Linked DNA regions of Drosophila melanogaster. Changing the gene in region 3 together with the main gene of any one other region gives a genetic interaction. Each region holds a gene or a part of one and is shown on either strand. Other genes may lie near its edges.

Region 1 (8,422 bases), on a different chromosome or scaffold from region 3:
GCCTAACAACCCGATTAGAAGAAATCTATTAAGCACCGCATTAAGCTGAAAGAGCGAAAAACTTAATCGCCGTGAATACAAGCTGATGTGTGTGTTTTAGATACACATGCTAGCTGAAGCGTCTGGCTATCGATTGTGTTTGCATTGAGATTTGTTCGCACCTTTATGCTACAGCAAATTAATGACGCAACAACGTGTAAGTGCACTGGGAGAAATTCCTGAGGCAGGTCAGTAACGACAACGGTCGGGGAAAAATCCCTTGCGTTAGTTTCGTGTTCGAAAGGGCCATAAAATTTCCGAATCGACAGATGTTTGGGTTCCGGGAAGCAGGACCATCCATCCATTTCTGCCTGCTTGAGATCCTACCTACCCGGTGGTTGCCTGCATTTGAAACCGTTGTCTAACCTTGAAGTAACTACGGTCGTACCAACCAAGCCGATAACTCGAGAAATTGGCACAGGTTGTCCTCAGGAATCTAGATACCATTGTTCAACACCGAGAGGTGGTCTCACAAGCCCGATGAGCACGACTATTCGTATCGCGAGAGACCCACCAATCTTGGGCCGACGAGCGTCAAGCCACTCGAACGGATACTGAGAGTTCGGCGGACGGAAAGTGAGACAGTGACAGCCAGAGAAGAACGGTAGGCGGCCCATGGAAGCACAGCGAAATGGAGACGCAAATCGGCTTATCAGGCAGCGATGTTCAGGCAAAAAGTCATCGCTGCTCCTCAAATATGTGATAACTGAGTGGACGACGGGCCACGATTACAGGTGTTTACGTTCACCATGCCGCCTCGGTTGGGATGCCGCGGAACATGTTCGCCGGTTTTAATTAGCGATCCGCCTGTCGACAGTCGTCCGCTCGCTCTGTCGTCGACCGTATTATTCAGATTACCAGATATATAGCCTAGGTATTCGTATTTGCCATTGCTTTCGCACGAAAATAGCTGAAAGCGTGAGAGGCTGTCCAATCGAAACTCGACTGTTGGATACCCGGCAAACGATAGTTATTACCCTTTCGTCGATAGGCTACTGGAAATAGCACCAAGAACCTTATGTCTTCCGGTCGAATTCCTCTAGTATTACTTTATGGGTTGTTATTCCGCTCGTTAATGTGCACATTTTGAATGAACTTGAAGATCAACCTCGCAGTGATTGTCCCACTGATAACACAGATTTATAGAGAAGAGCCAGTACAACTCGAGCACGTTGACTACCAGGTGATATGGGCGATATGTTATAGCCTACTCGGCAGTTCCAGTTTCCCATATATTGGGCGATTCCTGAACCCACTGGGTTCGTGCGGCGAACGAAGCCATCACCATCAAATGGTCGAACCACAAGTGCGGGATCAACAGAAAGATTGGCACATGAAAAAAGAGTCAAGGGTGGACCCAATTCGACGAGTGATAGGCATTGGCATTTAAGTCGAAGTCTTTGGTGGGGCCATTAGGACTTAAGGATGTTTAATATTTCTGGAAATTGCCGATTTCGAAAACTAACCCTTAAATGTTTTCGAATCTTATGGGGTTGCAAATTGCTGTTTTCTTGCTATTTCTCCAGTTCTCTAATTCTAGTTTTAAGACGCATAATCCCGGAATAGAGCATTTCCCCGATTGCGTGCATCTAAATAGTTAGAATCTCAAAAATAGCTGCCCGCTTTCCTGGTCCGCGAAAATCACCTGCTTCCCCACACGTTACCAATCAATTGACCCCAATCCGCGACGACATTGCGTCCCACGCTGGTCCACTCTATAAATACGAATACCGTGCTGAATACAACACACAGCACACACATCTGCATCTGCGGCAACAATGCTGCAACACTTCTTCCCATCGGCAACATCCACATCCACTGTTCTGCTCTGTTCTGTTCTGTTCCACCGACGAACGGTCAGAACGCCACAGAGTGACTGCACCACACACACCACACACCACCATCGCCGCTACCAACCCCCAGACCCCGCCCCCAGGCCCACAAGCGCACCACTGGCGCGCGCAATTTTCAAATTTACCGCCAAACGCGCCCACAACCGTACTCACGGAACCCAAGCAGATTTTGTATGGAATTAATCAGGAAACCCACTCAACTTGTCATTTGCGGATCTAGTTTTGATCGCAGCGCCTCGGGAAAAAGCCCAAAATTAAGCGGATACTACCAGCTATAGCCTCGATCAGTCTCTGAACCGATCCGAACAAAGGTATTCAAGTTATAGGCAAAAATGTCTGCAACCGATTTGGCGCAAGAAGAAGCAAGCGGCAATTTCTAGCCATCGAACGGACGGCAAGCTCAGTCTTGTACGAACCGTCGACGGGAGCACATATCGGTGGTTAGCAAACCAAAGGAAAACGGATATTCCATACATCAGTGGGGCCTACGAGTAAATCCTTTTGCCTGCCGTAGCGCCGCCTGATATATGGCACCTCCTAAAGCCTTACTATATAGATACTATATTATCAGAAAATCACCGCAAAATAATATACCAAAAATCCAACGATCGCTCTGCTCTGGGCTGTTGTTGTTGTCTTATCGACTGCGGCTGTACAAATGCCGCGGCGATTTTTTGAGTGTATTGTATGGGCCAATGGCGTGGGAGAGAGAGAGCGAGTGAGCGTCGTAACGATTTCGGGGAGAGCGAAAAAGAGAGCAGCGAGAGCGTTTAAAGAAAGTTACTCTCTCCTCGAGAGGCAGTGCTTAAATAGACGGCCCGCAGCTGAATCGCATTCAGTGTGTTTGTGTGCTTCGTTCGGTGCGGTTCTCTCTGTCTCTCTCTCGCCTTCCCCGAGTATTTTGCGCTGGTTTTTTGTCAACAACAAGACAATCCACAAAACCAACCCGAATTGTTCTCTATATAACGCAGAAACTAAATAGTTCCGGAAAACCTCAAAGAAACCAATTCAAATATGTCGGCTGCTACGGAACAACAGAACAACGGCGATGTGGCCGTGGAGAAGGTGGCGGCAGATGATGTGTCTGCTGTCAAGGACGATCTCAAGGCGAAGGCGGCCGCCGAGGATAAGGCCGCTGCTGCCGATGCCGCCGGCGACGCGGCCGACAACGGTACGTCAAAGGACGGCGAGGATGCCGCCGATGCCGCCGCCGCTGCCCCCGCAAAGGAATCCGTGAAAGGCACCAAGAGGCCAGCAGAAGTGAGTACTGATCTATGTGACTAGGTAGTTGTTTACGCGGTAAAACCAAAAGGAGGCCCCTCTAATGATTCACTCCAAGCCAATATGCCAGTAGCATAGCATTGTTCGAGGAAAAATTCTAGAAATAGATATACACACGTTTTTCGGAACAGCGCACTCTCCCAATGGCTTACATATGCCCCCAAAAGAGAGAGCGTATAGCTGGCTCGGTTGTGCGTTTGTGTTGTTTACGATTAACCAAGATGATTGCGGGTCCGGCAATCAAAGATTATTGTTGTTAGGTTCAAATCGAGGTTAGGAGGGCCGCCGTGCTTATATAGGCGGGGAGTACAGTTAGCCAGGGCCTTTTCTTTGGTGGGGTGGGTAATGTGTTTTTAATAAACCCATAGGTCATTAGCATTGACGTGTCCGCTGAACAGCGTTACCCAGCAATAGATACATTGTGGCATTACGTCTATAACTCATACGCTTGGCCTTATTTATCAGTCGCTGTGGCTACGGGAATTGCAAATGCAAACGCAAACGCAATTCAGCGCGATGCCAATGCACTCTCTCAATGAAAACACACATTGCCGGCCGGTAAATTACTCATGTCATGTTTGGCCACTTTATTTTTGGTTAGTATCGCCAAGAGCACGCGGTATTCGAACAAGTTTTGGGGGCCTGAAGCAGTCGCATTCCATAATCGAGTAGCACATTTCTTGATAAAAATAAAATAGTTCGGCCAGTAAGGCAGATAAATTGGCAAATCAAGCGCTTTTCTCAGACTCAAACTCGAAATAAAAATGTACAGTTTAACGGGAGCGTTCTCTCGCTCTCTCTCTCTCTCCCCGGAGAAAGATAGATACAAATAGAGAGCGCTGCTAACTCTCTCCCTCGTAATTTGTATACACACCGTTTTGTCTGTTTGCGTATGTGCTTACATTTATCTTTCACTTTTTTTTCTGCTCTGCCTTATGCGTATTTATTTTAGTACATAAAACAAGACGGCTAAACAGGGTGTCGCAAAAGTTAGTTGGGTTTCTTCGGGATTCAATTGAATAATGATCATTATCCCATGATCATGAATTAGTTGAGATACGTTTGGCACGGATAATTCTTAGTGGTACAGTAACGAATTGTATAGATTTCAAGAATAGTTTTGAAAATTATTCGTTGGTTTCCATATCTTTCGATTCCAAACAACAGATTAGCTTTTGTCCCTATAAATGTATCTTCACGCTTAGAAAACACAAACTAAAACCTCTAACTAAATCAAGATACATTGATTACCCAGTTATAACACCAGTAATAGTAGGCTTAGTTCTTGCCAATACAGATACACCCTGTTCGTCTTAATCCTCTATTGGCCTTTTCTCGAGTTCTGGGTCTCGTGACTTATGCTGTAAGCGAAGTGAAAAAGGGGGGCGATGGGTGGCCATTAATTTTGCACATTTTTCCACAGTCCGATTGTTTTTCGCTTCTTCCGCTTTGTAACAGTCTGGTAAATAGGGCCCTTGTGTTGCGGCTTCTCTTCGACTTGGGAACGTGACCGCCTATATACTGCCATAAACCATATACCATTATGTGTATCTTGTTGTTGGTTGGTCAGCGGCAAAAGTTAAACCCACGCATGTTGTTGTTTTGCGCCTTTTTCGCTGCCGACGTCGCTGCAGCAGCTGTCGTTCGGATGGCTGTGAGTGAGAGCGAGAGATTCATTCATGCAGTTCAGGTACAGTTTACAGTGCTGCGGATTCAGATGCTCTCTCTCTGGCGCTCTCGCCCGCTCTCTATCTTACAGGGCACGCTTCGTTTCGTATCTCACGGATGCGGATACATATGTCGCTGCCGGCGTCGCTGCTTATTGTTTTTTTTTCCTTCCCCCTTATGTAGTAAATATGTCGCCTTGTACATACGGAGCACAGATGTAATGTAGCGCGGTTGCACTTGTAATCCACTCTCTCACGTACTCTCTCTCCCGCTGTCTCTTTTTGCCGCAGCGAATTACATTGGCGCGCGCATTTTTCAAATGTTTTTTTACGGCGAAAATAACGATTTTCGTCGCTGCTTGTTTTGTGTGCTGAAAATATACATTTTATGACTATGTACACACGCACAGGAAGTTGAGAGGGGTATTGGATGCCCTTGATCAAGGAGATGTGTGGGTTTGAGTTGGGCGCGTAGGACCATTTCGCTCCGTAATTCTCCCTAATATCCTTTAGTTTGTTTCTCAGATTAATATCAAAAATGCATAATTAATAGTGACGGGCCCCTTATTTCTGTTCAATAAACTTGCTTGTAATACAGTAAATCATCAGCGGAACAAAAACCAAAGGAACTCTACTAACTTCTCTTTTTTCGCTTCCAGGCCAAATCCGCAGAATCAAAGAAGGCCAAGAAGGCCGCGGCCGCCGATGGAGATTCCGATGAGGAAGAGGCTCTGGAGGAAATCATCGAGGGCGACAGTGAAATCGAGAGCGACGAGTACGACATCCCCTACGATGGTGAGGAGGATGACATTGAATGTGATGGTGAGTTCACGGAAGCACTTCCCTTTTCCACATCAATCTAATCCCCGGATTTTCCCTTTCCCTTACCCGCGCAGATGATGATGATGATAATGATGACGGTTCCGGCTCGGACGATCAGGCGTAATAATAATGTAGTCAAAAATACAAACAAAAACAAACAAAAATTTAAATTAATAATAAATAAAAGTTACAAGCAAAAACAAAACAAAAAAAATATAATAATAAACCAACAAGCAGAAAATAAACCACAACAAGGAGAAAATGAGGAGGAGGAGGAGAAAAAAACCACAAAAAAATCGCAAAAGTATATAATTTTTATGTTTAAGAAATAATTTTTTATTTCTTACCTTATTTTAATTGTATTTTATGTGTACTTTTTTTATAAAAAACTACAAAACAAACAAAAATTGTAATTGAAGGCATTTTCGTATAAACGCAACCTATACGGAATCCAACAAAAAGTAAACATCCCCACTATATACAAGAACAAAACAAAACCAAAATCTTTCTTTCCTTTATCTCATAAGTCCTAATTTAAACGCCCAGTTGATGCGTAAACCAAGATATACAAAGATTTCAAATGTAGCGTAAACGAAGCCCGCGAATTAAACACAGATACACTACACTCACACACACACACGATATTCAAATTCATTATTAAATTAGACGTTACATTTGTGAATGAATGATCGATCGAAAGAAGCAAAAATACAAAAGTGAACATTTGAAAATGAACATGATTATGAACATGAAAAAGAAACAGCAAATGCAATTAAATACAAAACAAATAAAACATAAAAATTGTATTTAAATAAATCGCAAAAATCATTGAAACCCCATACTCGACAAGCATTCAATGACACTCAAGTTTTAGCTATGGTTTCAAAAATTTCGCGCCCATTGTGGCCACAGTCACCCGAATTTCCCAAACCCAAGGCACTGGGACTTAGTTGGTCTTCGCTTTTGGGGCAAATACAAAAAAAAAAAACAAAAAAAAATGAAAGGAAAACATCGGGAAGTTTGAGTTCTAACCTTCTGTTTCGTTTCAGCATTTAACTATAAACTATGACTAATCTTAAGTACTTATGTCAGTATTAAAGCGAGGGCTTTATTATTCTGTTGATAAGTTGTGCGAGCGAGTCGTTGATAAGCCTAATTCATTTGTAAATTGTAAAAACCAACTCGAGAATCGAAAAACGAGCAAGAAAATAAACTTTTAATGTTACATGTATCTAATTAGTAAGGGCATCCAAACTATTTATACACACACCCCGTACGACGAGTTCTCAATATAAACATATAACGACTGATATTTCAAAACGAATCGTGCCCAGCTGGTCAATCACGGCACTCGACACCGAAACCACCCAACCACCACCATCCTCGAATCTAAACGATTTGTCCCGGAAAGACAGACCAGCCCAACATACACACACAATCCACCCACTGACCCAGATCCAAACTCCAAGAGGCTTAAAGCTGGTAATGCCAACCAGCAACTGAATAATTGAGTGCAATTAAACCAATATGCCCAAGATAAATCATCCGATTTGATAACTGATAAACAATAGCGATATCACAGACAATGTTAAAGAACTATGCATTTTTGTAAATACCAATTACTCATGTATCTGCTCCGTGCGAGAATAACATCTAGTAGCGCGAAAGGGCAAAAAGAGAAAAGAACCACGAATCGAAAACGAGAATAAGAAACAATTTTGAACGATGAAATAAATTATTGTAATTACGTAAAAGCGAAAACCGTACGTACATACCACCCATTTGGCATCTGTTCCGATGCCAATAAAAGTTTGTTTCAATTGCAGTTGGCCATTTTGGGTGGGGCAATCACCTCGCTTCGGTGTTCCCAGGGGTAGTAGTTCTTAGCCAGGAGCATGTACGTATGTAGGTACATAATTCATAGATTGGCCGCCCCTACATTACTCCGATCCATCCCTTCCATATCCCAGTTTTCGTTCGGGGGTTGACGAGCTGGTTCCCACAATCCTCCCTATGAAAGAAATCATATACTAAGGGATGATGGAAAAATTCAATCGGAAATTTCCTTTGATTAAGTACCTTTTTCGGATTGAAAATCGATTAGCCTTAGCAGATGCCTATTAAAAAAACGAATGATGAAATTCCGGGCTCTTCGTTGGGCAAATGAAGTTGAGCTACTTTTATATTCAAATTCAAATATAAGCGCAAAAATTTCTAAAAGTTTAAGAGCTTTTAAGTTTCATAAGCCATTTCTTTCATTTATTTCAACTTTTATTAAAATTATTCTCCATATTATTTAGTATCAAATTTAAGAATAAACGCCTAAAAAAGTTTATCTTTTAATTAAAATACAACTTTAATTTGATGCTATTGCACGAGTCATGATGATGCCAAGTACCTGGTGACCTTCAGTATGCACAAATGCTCGCCAGGAATGCGTCGCTCCATGAACTTAACAGCCCGGAACTGGAGGCCCTCTAAGTATTTGATAATCTCCTCCGGCTTGTTCTCCCGCAGCAGGAGTAGGTAGAGCACGCCTCGAGGCGAAAGAATGTCATCCAATTGCTTGAGTAGAATGTCCGTGACGCGTCGCCCGTCCTGTCCACCAGCCCAGGAGAAAACCAGATTGCGATCCGTTGAGGATTCGCTGTGCGAATCGAACTGTTGCGTCTGCAGCTCCTCGTCACTGGTGACTACATAGGGCGGATTGAAGAGCAGCACGTCCACGGATCGCGGACGCAGTGCATCCGCTAGGCTGCA
Region 2 (5,177 bases), on a different chromosome or scaffold from region 3:
ATAATTTGGATATAGCCACACAAAAACTTGTTAAATACACTGGCCAGTTCAAGTGAAAGTGAAAAAAGTGAGCCACCGAAAATAATCAACAATAAACCGTAAAATAAAACGCAGAAAAGTTCAATGAACTTTTTTGCTAATGGCCACAAAGCGAATAAGTAAATCAAAACTAACAAAAATAAAAGTCGGCCAAAGAGCAGGTTGCGATAACGGCCGCTCATTATTTTTCCCCGCCTTCGTTTTATTTTTTCTATATTTTTGCTGTTTACTGTAAGACAAGAACATTAAGAATAGTGGATAATAGAAAAGTGCGACACATATTAAACTTTTTTTGCACGTGCGTGTGTAGGTCAGAAATTCGATGCAAGGTCATGGTGTTTTAAAAGGAAAAAAAGTTGATGACTTGAAAGAAGTGTACAAGTTTAAATTGTAAACAAAGAATTAAGGCAAGAAACCAAAGAGAAAAATACAGTTTTTGCTTTTCTACACTTGTTGCGCAAAAGCTTTTTTATATCTCATTTATTATTGTTATTATTCTGCACATGTGCGTAGAATGTAAACAAATGAAACTTTTGCAAAAGTCACAAGTGAAATTTAGCAACGTCGCGCAGTCCCATAAAAAAGATTAGGCGACACGAAAATATGAAAAATGGAAATGTGTAAACGTGTCGAAAAGAAAACAACAAAAGCGGCGTAGCAGAAGTGTAGCACAAAGTGGAAACAAAAATATGTGGCGACTGTTCTCTCTCTCCCTTCCTCATCATCCTCCTTGCCTCATGCTGAGCCGTCTGGTTCTCCCACTTTTCTAAGTGTGTGTGAAAAGTGCAGAGAGAAAATTTCACGCTTGTTGTTTTTGTTTTTCGTGAACAAACATAAAAACTGACGAGGGAGTATGACAAAATGAGCGGGAGAGAAAGAAAAGGGGAGCCAAAAGAGCGAGAGAGCCTAGCATTGAACAAAATATTTTATGTGTGGGGGAAAAACCAAGATGGCGGCCACCAAGACTTTGGGAATCTATCGAAATGAAAAACGTGCTTTTTTGTAGGAGTTTATAATAGAAAGCAATTAATTGAACTCGCTCTTGGCAATCTTCGTGTTTACTAATCATAGTTTTTTTTATCAAGCTTTCCCTCGTCGCAATCGGTAATGAAAAGCTTATATAACTTTCCTACTCGCGCACACATACACGTGTACTTGTAGAAAACATTTCCCACTGCAACACTTGACCTCATTTGCATGGAAAGTGAGCCACTGGCAGTGTGTGCGTGTGTGAAAATTAATGAAAACCGCCCGTCATTTACTTCAGCGTTGCATTTTGTGGGAAAGCTCTCCCTCTCCTGCTCTGTCTGTGCCTGTCTCTTTTCGTACATTGGTGAAAAGCTTTCTCCCGTGAAGTGAGCATAGGGAAAAATCGATAGAAACACCACTGGAAGTATCGATTCGATATGCAAAAACACACACAATCTCAGGCAGATAATTGCCAGGTACAGTTCAAATGCAAGTTCTTATTGTATATTATTAAGCGGTACTTTAAAACATTATTGATCAATTTTATATACACACCGAAATAGAATCACAGGCAGCACGTAGTCGTCAATAAACTTTGCACATATCAAATTTTGGTGTTGCTTTTCCAATCCATATATGTATATATATAGTAAAATATATATAATACTAATACACACACACACGATAACGCGACGGGGGGAAAAGCAATAAAGTTGAATTTATTTTTACTGTATGTGATGGGGCCCTGTATGCATGTGTATGTATTTTCCTTTCCCGCTGCCGTGGAGAGCAGAAAGAAAAGAGTAGGCAGCAGCAACAACGCACCACACACTGAAAATTGCGGACGCGCGAAGCCACTGAAGAAAAACTGACGACTGACGCGACTTTCCGCTGGTGCTCGAAAAAACGAAAGGTTCCCATAAGCAGAGACCCCGAAGAGCGCCGAGAGAGTTGGAAACGAAGCCGAAGCGAAACCCGAAGAGTGTGAGTGCGAATGAGAGTGTGAGTTCGAAAAATAAGTTGACGTCGCCTGTTTGCCACCCCTCTTCAGACGTGTGCTTTTTGTATGCTTGGCGCACAGAGTTGCCAATTCACGACAAAAGATCGACAAATTAGGATGATGCAGAAGGAGGACACGCTTTTCATTATCTGGTTGCCACCTAATTTAAGTTCCACATCAAGGAAGAAGGAAATACGTTTCCAACGGACGTCAAATTTACTAACTACACTACTTGAAAAGCCTGTCTATAAAAACACGATAACGTTTTTGCTAATCTCAAGACAATGTTAAATATAATTGGAGAAAGTATTGAATATGAATATCACAAAAATTGTTTAGGGTCTCTACGTGGTAAATAGTATTTGGCATAGACAGTGAGATGTGAGTCGTACGTACTAATTAATAAAGTTGTTCAATAGAACCTCATATACTGTAAGTGACAACGAACGAGGCTGACAACTCTGCTTGCACATATTTGGCGGAGTTCGAAAATATCATTCGCATTGGTATTGTTTTTGTTTTCCACCATGGGGCGAGATTTTGTTGTTGCTTTAGCTTTGCTTGTTTTTTTCGCAGCAAAGCGAAGCCATAATGTTCGAAATGGTAAAATTACCGTTGCCGAGCAAGCTCTCTCTCTCCCCCACTCCGACACCTCTCTCCATCTCTCGTTGCAGTTGTTTAAGGGTGTGCGAGGGAGATGAAAGATGGTCTCGGCTTGTGTGTGCAATGCATTTCCCACTAAAAAGCGCAAATTATATTTTGTGCACTCTCCAAACGTTTTTATGATCGGCGTTGATTTATTTTTGGCTTCCAGCATGACTTCATCGCCGCGCGTTTTCTCTCTAATTTCGGTGTACAAATTATGTGTACCTAAATATGTACCTTAATTTTTAACGGTTTCATCGGGTTTTCAGCTGGAAAATTAACATTTCTGTGCGAAATTCTACACGCATGCCAAATGTTCTAACCAATACTAATTGATGCGAGGAGTGTCGTTTCTGTGGCAAAATCATAAATTCTACAGATCTTTTCGACGGCTACAGTGTGCATATGAAAGGTGAACGTATAGAGATGATGGTCCCCGCATAACATCACGTCGATTGACAATCGCTCACCTGAATTTCCATTGGAGTTTTCATGGCAACTCGGTCACGTTCCCTCTTTCTCACTCCCTCTCTCTCTTTCCCACACGTTGCACAGGAGAGGGGGCGCAAACACTCACAAACACCTATAAATTATTATATATTTCGTCTTTTTGCATTTGCAGTTGAACTTTAATTACAACAAATTATGCACTCGACACAAAAACGTATTTAACATCACATAGTTTTTTCCGTGGGTGTTTTTCCAATCGGTGCTCCGCTTGAATTTATGCAATCCGCACTGTTTTTTAGACTACTAACAATTTATCCTGATTTTTTATGTGGGTGGAAAAGCAACGAGAATTTAACGAGCGGAGCGACGACGATTTTATTCCTGAGAGTTGCCGTTTGTTACTGAAAAATCGCTGCAAAAAAGTTCGAATAAAAGTCGAAAAAAGAAATAGGCTTTGCGTGTGTGTGTGAGCACGAAGTTTTTGCTTTTGTTGTTCTTTCTGCTGCATTCGAAAAACCGAAGATCGTTCGTGCGCTAGAACAAGTGAGTGCGAGCGAGATGGGGACACTCCACGATACAGTTGATTGCTTTTTGCAACTGTCTCGTTGGAAAAAAGCGTTTTGCGCGGGAATTGAGGGGAAGAAAAGAAAGAAGAAGAAGGGGTTGTGGCAAAAGGAAGTCGCGCTAAATGAAAAGGCAAAGAAAATGTGTTTTTTTTTTGCTTAGCACATAAGGAAATATGGCACATGGAGTTCTATGTAAAAAGCTATGTATTTAGATCGTCAAATAAAACGTGGAATTTGTGGGAAACACTTTTATAATACTTTTTGTATGTATAAGAGTTATAATAAGCATAATGAGAGCATGGCATAATACGAGATTTAAGCCACATGATGTACTATGTACATATGTACATAGAAATGTGTGTATGTACATACATAACATAATTTTTAACGAATTCTTATAAACCAAGTGGAAATGTTTCTAAAAAATTATGAAATGTCAAGGTCATACATAATTTACAATGTAGGTTCTACAATTTTTAGAGATTACAAAGCAGTGAGGAACATACTTATGTACATACATTTATGTAATATTTACATAAGTACATAAATATTTATGTGATTATAAATTTATATACATATACATATATGAAAGAATATATACATTCATATATACACAGTTTTTTTTAAGAAGCTTACACGGCAACTGAAATGATCTCACCATGCAGATGCAGAACTTAAAATTTGTAAATGTACATAAAAAGCTAATTTAGGTAATTTTACTACAAATAAAATAAATGCTATTAGCGCTGAAGAAGATAATTCACCAGACACCTGTCATTATTTTTTGCGAGGCAATTAAAATTCCCGACTGGGGAAGTAGAAAGGTGTCAAGAAAAGATTAAACTTTCAATTTATGGATCCACTCTTTTTTTTTGCATTTTGCCATTTTGCATATCTGTTTGTTTTGCCAATTGCTACTTTCTAATAAAATCGTCAATGTTCACGGCACACATTCGTATAAATCTTTGGTCGTTTTTTACCACCGCCTTGCATTAGCAATTGCCAAAACTTGATTTTGATGCTTAAATATAACTGATTACTTGATTTGAGCAAATATATGTACACATGCATGTACATATAAAAAAGTCAGCACAAGATCATAATTACACGAAAAACAAGAACAACAATAATGCTGTTACACGGTGAGAAATACATATGTGTTATGATTAACTAAAGTCAGTAAGCATATTTTTACTGGAATGTAGAATTTAAATTCATTTATGAAACTACATTTTTGCTAATATGCATATAATTTCTAACTGATTTCTAACTCAATTGGCACATTACAATGCCTTGAGAGCAAACGTAAGATTTGGAAAAGTGTTTTGACCGATCTATTACTAATATTTTCTTGCAGTGTAGCGCTGTCGGCGTCGACGCCCGCGCAGCAGCTTAAAAAAGCTGCGCTCAAAGAAATTAACAATAAAAGTTGGAAATTTTGTTCAACGCTTTTTGTTTATTTTTTAATGTTTTTGTGTTGTTGTTGTTGGCTCTTGAATGACGAAGAA
Region 3 (5,968 bases):
GATGTGTTTGCATAAACAAGACTACTTGATACCCTCTTTTCATAAACTTTCTGGGAATACTACATAGATTATAACTAATTCCAAGGTTATATTAAGTTGTATGCTATCTATGATATCTATGGCCACAGCTTAGTTCAAATAAACTTTATTAAATTGCAAAATGGCCGAAAGTCATCATACCCCAGTTCATTTTCAAGCAGCGGGTATAATAAAACAAATCCGTGTACAATTTAAATCAGACAATTGACAGATTTGAGCATGGACAACAACGACAAAATTTATAAGCACATAATAAATGTTTACACGTTCATTGTATTGTATTTACATGGCAAATTTATCTGGCGACATCGACGCGATGGTTTTGTGTGGAAACATCGGTTTGGAATGGGTAATGGGTGGCGTTTGATGGGTAAATTATGTGCGGTAATAATGATGATGGTGGTGATGTTCTAATGGCCGCTGGGCAATTTTCACGTGCCTGTGTGCATTAAAAATTTTTTTTTGGAAATTTTCGTGGCCGCGTACTTTGCAGCCACGCCTCGTTTTACGACATGCCACATCCTTCAACTTATTCCGAAAAAGTTTTCAACGTGCCAGCATCACAACGGCGACGTGTAACTCACTTTCAACCGCCCACTTCAGGCGCTTTCTCCGCCTACCTACCTCCCTCCACCCCCCACCCCACCACGCCCCCTTGACAGCCTTGACAATCTTGGTACATAAAGCCAGATTCGTTGGGCATAAATGGCATTAATCAGTTTGCGGTTTACTTTCGCAAGTCATCCAACTTCTTGGTGGGAAAGTAAAAGTGCCAAAGTGTAACTTTATCGTTTAGGGAACTTGCATATCGAAATCTACAAGTTTCTCTCAAGGAATTCCATTCAAGCTGGTTTATGTTTTTCAAGTAATTTCGCATCATGGCTTATATAATGGATATTTTAGGAACGCATTCACAAATAAAAAGCAATTAAACGTGTACCCAATGCACCTTTGCACTTTTGGGTCATAAGTAATAATAAGGTGGCGCACAAAAAACCTCCACGAATCATTCGTTTCTTTGGAAATTCAATTTGCCGAGAATTCCCCGATAACAGATTTCAATTTCAACAGATTGCTATTTGCGTAAGATTAAATTTCACAAAGAATTTCTAACGCCTTGTGTGCTGTGCACCCTGCTACCTCAAAATTTCCAATTAAACGTATGTTTGTACGTATGTCGATAAAAATCGAGCTGGTTCTGCTCAAGGGAGAATTCAAAGAAAAGTAAAAGGATATCAGCACCTGGATGGCAGGGCAAATCATGTTATGCTTTTATACCGAAAGAGATAATAATATGAATTTCCCAGTCTAAAATGTGTGTGTGTGTGTGGCTGGCATGAACGTAAATTTAACACTTTAATGATTTATGCACAGTATTTAATATTTTAAATTAAATATTTTCTCTGCACTGAAATTGTTTCCTGCATATTTCAAACAACAAGGCGAGCTGCCTGAAATTGCCACGGACAATTTAATTTGCTCAATTTAAATTAAAATACAATACTACAAACAAATTCATGTTTTGCAAAAGCCGTAGTAATTATTTCTAGCTGAAATATAGTATCACAAAAGTGGCAAGCAAATATTTATTGAGGTTGATCTGAAATAAATTCGCTGACACGCTAGCAGCAGCACCAATGAATATAATTAGCTTCATATCGTACATATTTGTATTGTCAAACGTATTGTGGCTGATGAATCCGCCAAATTGGCTGACGTGAATGAACTTTTGGCCCATGAATGAATACCCATGGAGCTGAGTAACCAAGGCCCAAAACCCAAAAGCTAGAATCCAAAACCTTAACCTAAACCTAAACCGTGCCAAATTTAATCGCCTTGCGGGGGATCTGCGTATTTGCTGTCAACTCGGGCATGAGTTAAGCAATCCTCGAGGCATTAAGTCTGCCCTGCGGTTGGCTAGACCAAATTGAAAACGAATTAAAATGAAATCTCAAACGCTTTGTGCCAAAAGTTTTAGCCAGCTTTCGCTGTGCACCGCGCCACACGCCGAAATACTTTGCCAAAGTACTTAAATGCCGTCTATTCTAGTCTATTCTATGCTATTTTTTTGTTTTTTTTTTTTTTAAGCAAAACTTCGAAAGTTCTATACGAGTATATATTCGCAGCACTTTTTTCATTGCGTTATACGAGCAAAGAATGCAATTTCCATTTTGATTGGTTTATCAAATGGAAGAGCTCAACCATTCTGGGCGATTTATAAACTTTAGGGCTTTGAGCGATCACACTTTTTGATCAGATTACTTGTTGCCAGACTTCGTTTAGTGAAAATCACACAACTGGCTGCACTTTCAATAAAATAAGCTTTTCACTTAGGTTACTAAACCATTTTGGTTACTAAAGCTTAGTGTCCTTCGGAAAATATATTTTGAAATAAATTGTGTCACCGTATAAAGAGTTCCAGATGTGCTTTTAATTTTCAGTTGCTCCGCTGGAGTTTCCGACATTTTACGAGCTTCCCCACTTTGCATTGTTAAGTGGAAGAGTGCCAAATTGACAGCAGAAAGTGCTAAAAACATAAATGTTTAACGCAGGTGTTTTCCCCCGTCCGGTTGTTTGAAATATGCTTGTGAAAAAGAACATGGAATGGAAAACATTCCATTTTTCTTGGCTGACTGGGAGCGGTGCTAACATGGCTGATAATGGTGAATTTTATATTGATATCACGAACTGCGCTAAATCATCAATTAAATGATTTTATGATGCCATTTTGGGGATTTTTACCCTCAGGCAATTTCGCTTGTGGTTTTTAGCTCTCGTGTCCTGCCCCACCCCCCATTTTTTTTCTGTCCGATCTGTTTTTTGTGATTTGGTTGAAGTTGTGCTAACGTTGGAGTTCCGTACAGTGAACATTTATTACGATGACTACTTACAATCGACAGGCAGCAACTCAACTACCTACCAAATATAACTGCATATCTTATTTTCTTATTTAAGCATATTTTAATAAATAAAAGAGTACTTTTGTGATGACTTTCCTTATACGAATACTAAGACAATTTTGAAGCTATTTTTAATGCAAATTTCACTTAGGTAGTTTGGCCTGTGCTAATTTTTTCTGGATAACACCTGCTACCATTTTGCCGGGGCCAAGATGCTAACGGTAATGGAGAGACTAACGGTAACAGGGACGACAAGAACACCAAACCAACTTGACGAAGCGACGGAAATGCAACACTTTTCCTTTACTCTTCCGTTTTGCAAATTCCCGTTTGTTTTACTAGCTTTTGTTCCTGTTATTTCTTGGCCACTGTTTGAACAACGACACAAAAAAAAAACACCTAAAAAAAAGGGGAAAATAACGTAAAGCGCACAGGAGCGCTTGAATAAAAAAAAAGGAGGGGGGGGGCGGTAACACAGGGAATTACCAACATCAACACAAACACAAACAAGCGCCCGCCGGATTTATAATGGCAAAGTAAACAAGCTTACGAGTCGCGCGCGACTTTTGTCCCGTTAGCTTGGCTTTTTGTTTTTGCGCGCGCTTTTTTTGGCGCGCTTCTACGCTTTCGTCAGAGAAATCGCGTAACGAATAGCACGAACAAGTGGAAAGCGCGTCCTACGCCAACCGAACGCAGAATGCAGGCGACAGCGCAGCCATCAGCGGCTTTTATACGTGGCCCACCGACCCGAGCAATCGTCGCCCTTCGGCTTCGACTTCGGCTTCGGCTTCGGCTGCGGCGAGAGGGAAACGGAAGTTAGTGGGTGAGCGATAGAAAGCGCGCGGCGGGGGCTTCGGCTCGTTTAGCATATGTCTGCCGCCATCGACATGGGCATCACTGGCACACGTGTGTGCGTGTGCACGCACAGCAGAGTTCACAATAACAGTGATAATTGCATATTCCTTCCAGCTGAATCCTTTCCATTTATACACTTCTTAGATTGGTAAAGAAAAAGATATATATTTTTATATTTATATTTTACAAGGAAATTTTCAGCTAATTTTAGATTTTTTTTTTTAATTTCTCATCCTTATTTATAAGTCTCTACTAGTCGTTCAGCATGCGCTGTGCGCGATTGTTTGCATATTTACTTTATGAATGTGTTTACCAGCAAACTTTGGCGCCGAAAAGAGACAGCAGGCGGCGGGCGAGCGAGAGGTGCGTGCGATAGTGCCAACACTCGCATTAATGACGCCAACAACAGCAAAAGGCAACAACAAAGGGCAACAATTTGAATTGTAAGCCAGCGAACAGCCAACAGCTCAATTAACTATCCGTCCGGCGGATGGCGAAGTGTGTCCGCGTTGACTTTCTCATACGCATAATTCCCATTATTTTGGCAATTACAAGGATGTAATGGCACTCGCATATGCTTGATATTATTTAACCCGTAAGTGTGTGCCATCGCATTGGGGCCGGCCAGGCCAAGGTAAATATGAAAAATGCATTGCAGCGCTGGCATTTTCATTGTACGAATCGCAATTATTAATGCAGCACATGCACAGGTTGCATTGCCTGTGTAGAACTTAACAAATTTAGTTATCTTAAAGAGCAGTCATGATTTACTGACGTAGATCACATTTTGTTATCCTCGAGGAGCTCAATAAAAAACTCAAGACATATTAATTGAGCAAATAGTTAGTGATCCAAAAGTCGTACTGTACTTCTGTGTGTGTGTGTTTTTTTTTATACGGCTGTGCATGGCGCATCTGTTTGTTTGCCAGTTCTTCGTGAAGCATAAAATGAGCAGCAAGTAATTTACATGTAAACAGGTTAAGGGATAAAGTTCATCACATGTAAATGGATATGCCTGATTAATGGCAAATACAACAAGACAGACAGAAGCTTCGGCAAACGAGTATGGATGTGTTTGCTCCTGTCGCTTTTCGCCAGGCCTTTATTACATTCGATATTCTGGCATTCCTGTGCCTGCATGACAATCAGTGAGATATGTATGTATTTACCTGCTAACGATTTAATACAATAACTGAGTATATAGTTCTTAACTTTAACATTGCATTAAGAAGTTCCTAGATCCATTAAAATCATCAGCGAGTCAAAAGTTATTTCTACGAGATAACATGGTTTTAACTCATACATTATCCTTACACGCAGAACTCACTTAACTAATAATTTGCAGTATGTTTTCCCATCTATCTTGTAATTGCTGCAACTTTTAGCGAAAAGCTCTGAACCACTTGCAACTCGAATCGAAGTCCCCTTTCAAAGGCGAACCACTCAAACTTGAACTTCCAGACAGGGCTGCACATGCGGGCCAAATTCGATGGCAAGTTCTGGCCAAGTTAGTAGTTTCATAAGCGAGACCTCAAGCCGAACAGCTCAAACTTGAACTGCTTCCTGCCACTTGGATTGGTGAAATGGTGTGAGTGCAAGGTAATTGAGATGGATCCAGGCTGGTTGGCATCACATCCCGCGGCTTTACGCAACAAACACGCCGCACCTGCCGCACTCTCCCGGATCCGGCTGCATTCCGTCCGGAGAATGTTGTGTCACCTGGCGGAGAAACGGGCAAATTGGGTGAGTGACAGGCCCCGACATTCCTTCGATACCTCAAATTGGGTTGGTCCATGTGTGTGCACTATGAAATAAATAAATAAATGGATTAACGAAATATCCGTAACAAAATGAATGTATCTTGCAAATAGATACTCGTAATAGATACTCGGCTTGTCTTAGAGATTCATTTCGAAGATAGTTCGATTTGTTGGTGATTATCCCAAGGCCAAAATCATAAATAATAATGAATAAAATCTGACAACTATAATCATTAACAAATAAAGTCTTCAATGGTTCAATAGTCATAATGTTGCCAAAACTACACAAAAATGTGTGCTATGCGATGCATAGTTTTTGCGAGTGTGCACAGCTTGAGCAGTTTGCGTATATTTTGCATGGCTGGGATAACTTTTGGGTTCATTGACAATGGCCACCACCCCCCCCCCCCATCA

The links.
Region 1: of Tbh (region 3) and Bacc, changing one suppresses a phenotype caused by changing the other (phenotypic suppression), as found in Drosophila melanogaster (one study listed by BioGRID).
Region 2: of Tbh (region 3) and lola, changing one suppresses a phenotype caused by changing the other (phenotypic suppression), as found in Drosophila melanogaster (one study listed by BioGRID).

What each region holds. Positions count from the first base shown.
Region 1 is NT_033779.5:2,750,509-2,758,930, forward strand, and holds Bacc (bacchus), read left to right. Parts: upstream 1-1,936; 5' UTR 1,937-2,332; intron 2,333-2,486; exon of another isoform or gene 2,487-2,560; intron 2,561-2,724; exon of another isoform or gene 2,725-2,863; 5' UTR 2,864-2,906; coding exon 2,907-3,152; intron 3,153-5,499; coding exon 5,500-5,662; intron 5,663-5,736; coding exon 5,737-5,786; 3' UTR 5,787-7,412; downstream 7,413-8,422. Other genes in the region: HemK2 (HemK methyltransferase 2), read right to left, coding at 8,042-8,422. UniProt on the Drosophila melanogaster protein: Negatively regulates tyramine beta-hydroxylase tbh and thus the conversion of tyramine (TA) to octopamine (OA).
Region 2 is NT_033778.4:10,539,782-10,544,958, forward strand, and holds the start of lola (longitudinals lacking), read right to left. Parts: upstream 3,511-5,177; 5' UTR 3,124-3,510; intron 2,215-3,123; exon of another isoform or gene 2,060-2,214; intron 1,993-2,059; exon of another isoform or gene 1,564-1,992; intron 1-1,563. UniProt on the Drosophila melanogaster protein: Putative transcription factor required for axon growth and guidance in the central and peripheral nervous systems. Repels CNS axons away from the midline by promoting the expression of the midline repellent sli and its receptor robo.
Region 3 is NC_004354.4:7,993,255-7,999,222, reverse strand, and holds the start of Tbh (tyramine beta hydroxylase), read right to left. Parts: upstream 3,527-5,968; 5' UTR 3,430-3,526; intron 49-3,429; exon of another isoform or gene 1-48. UniProt on the Drosophila melanogaster protein: Catalyzes the hydroxylation of tyramine into octopamine, a neurotransmitter involved in ovulation and locomotion. Functions in an amine-mediated Bacc-dependent signaling pathway that negatively regulates acute ethanol sensitivity.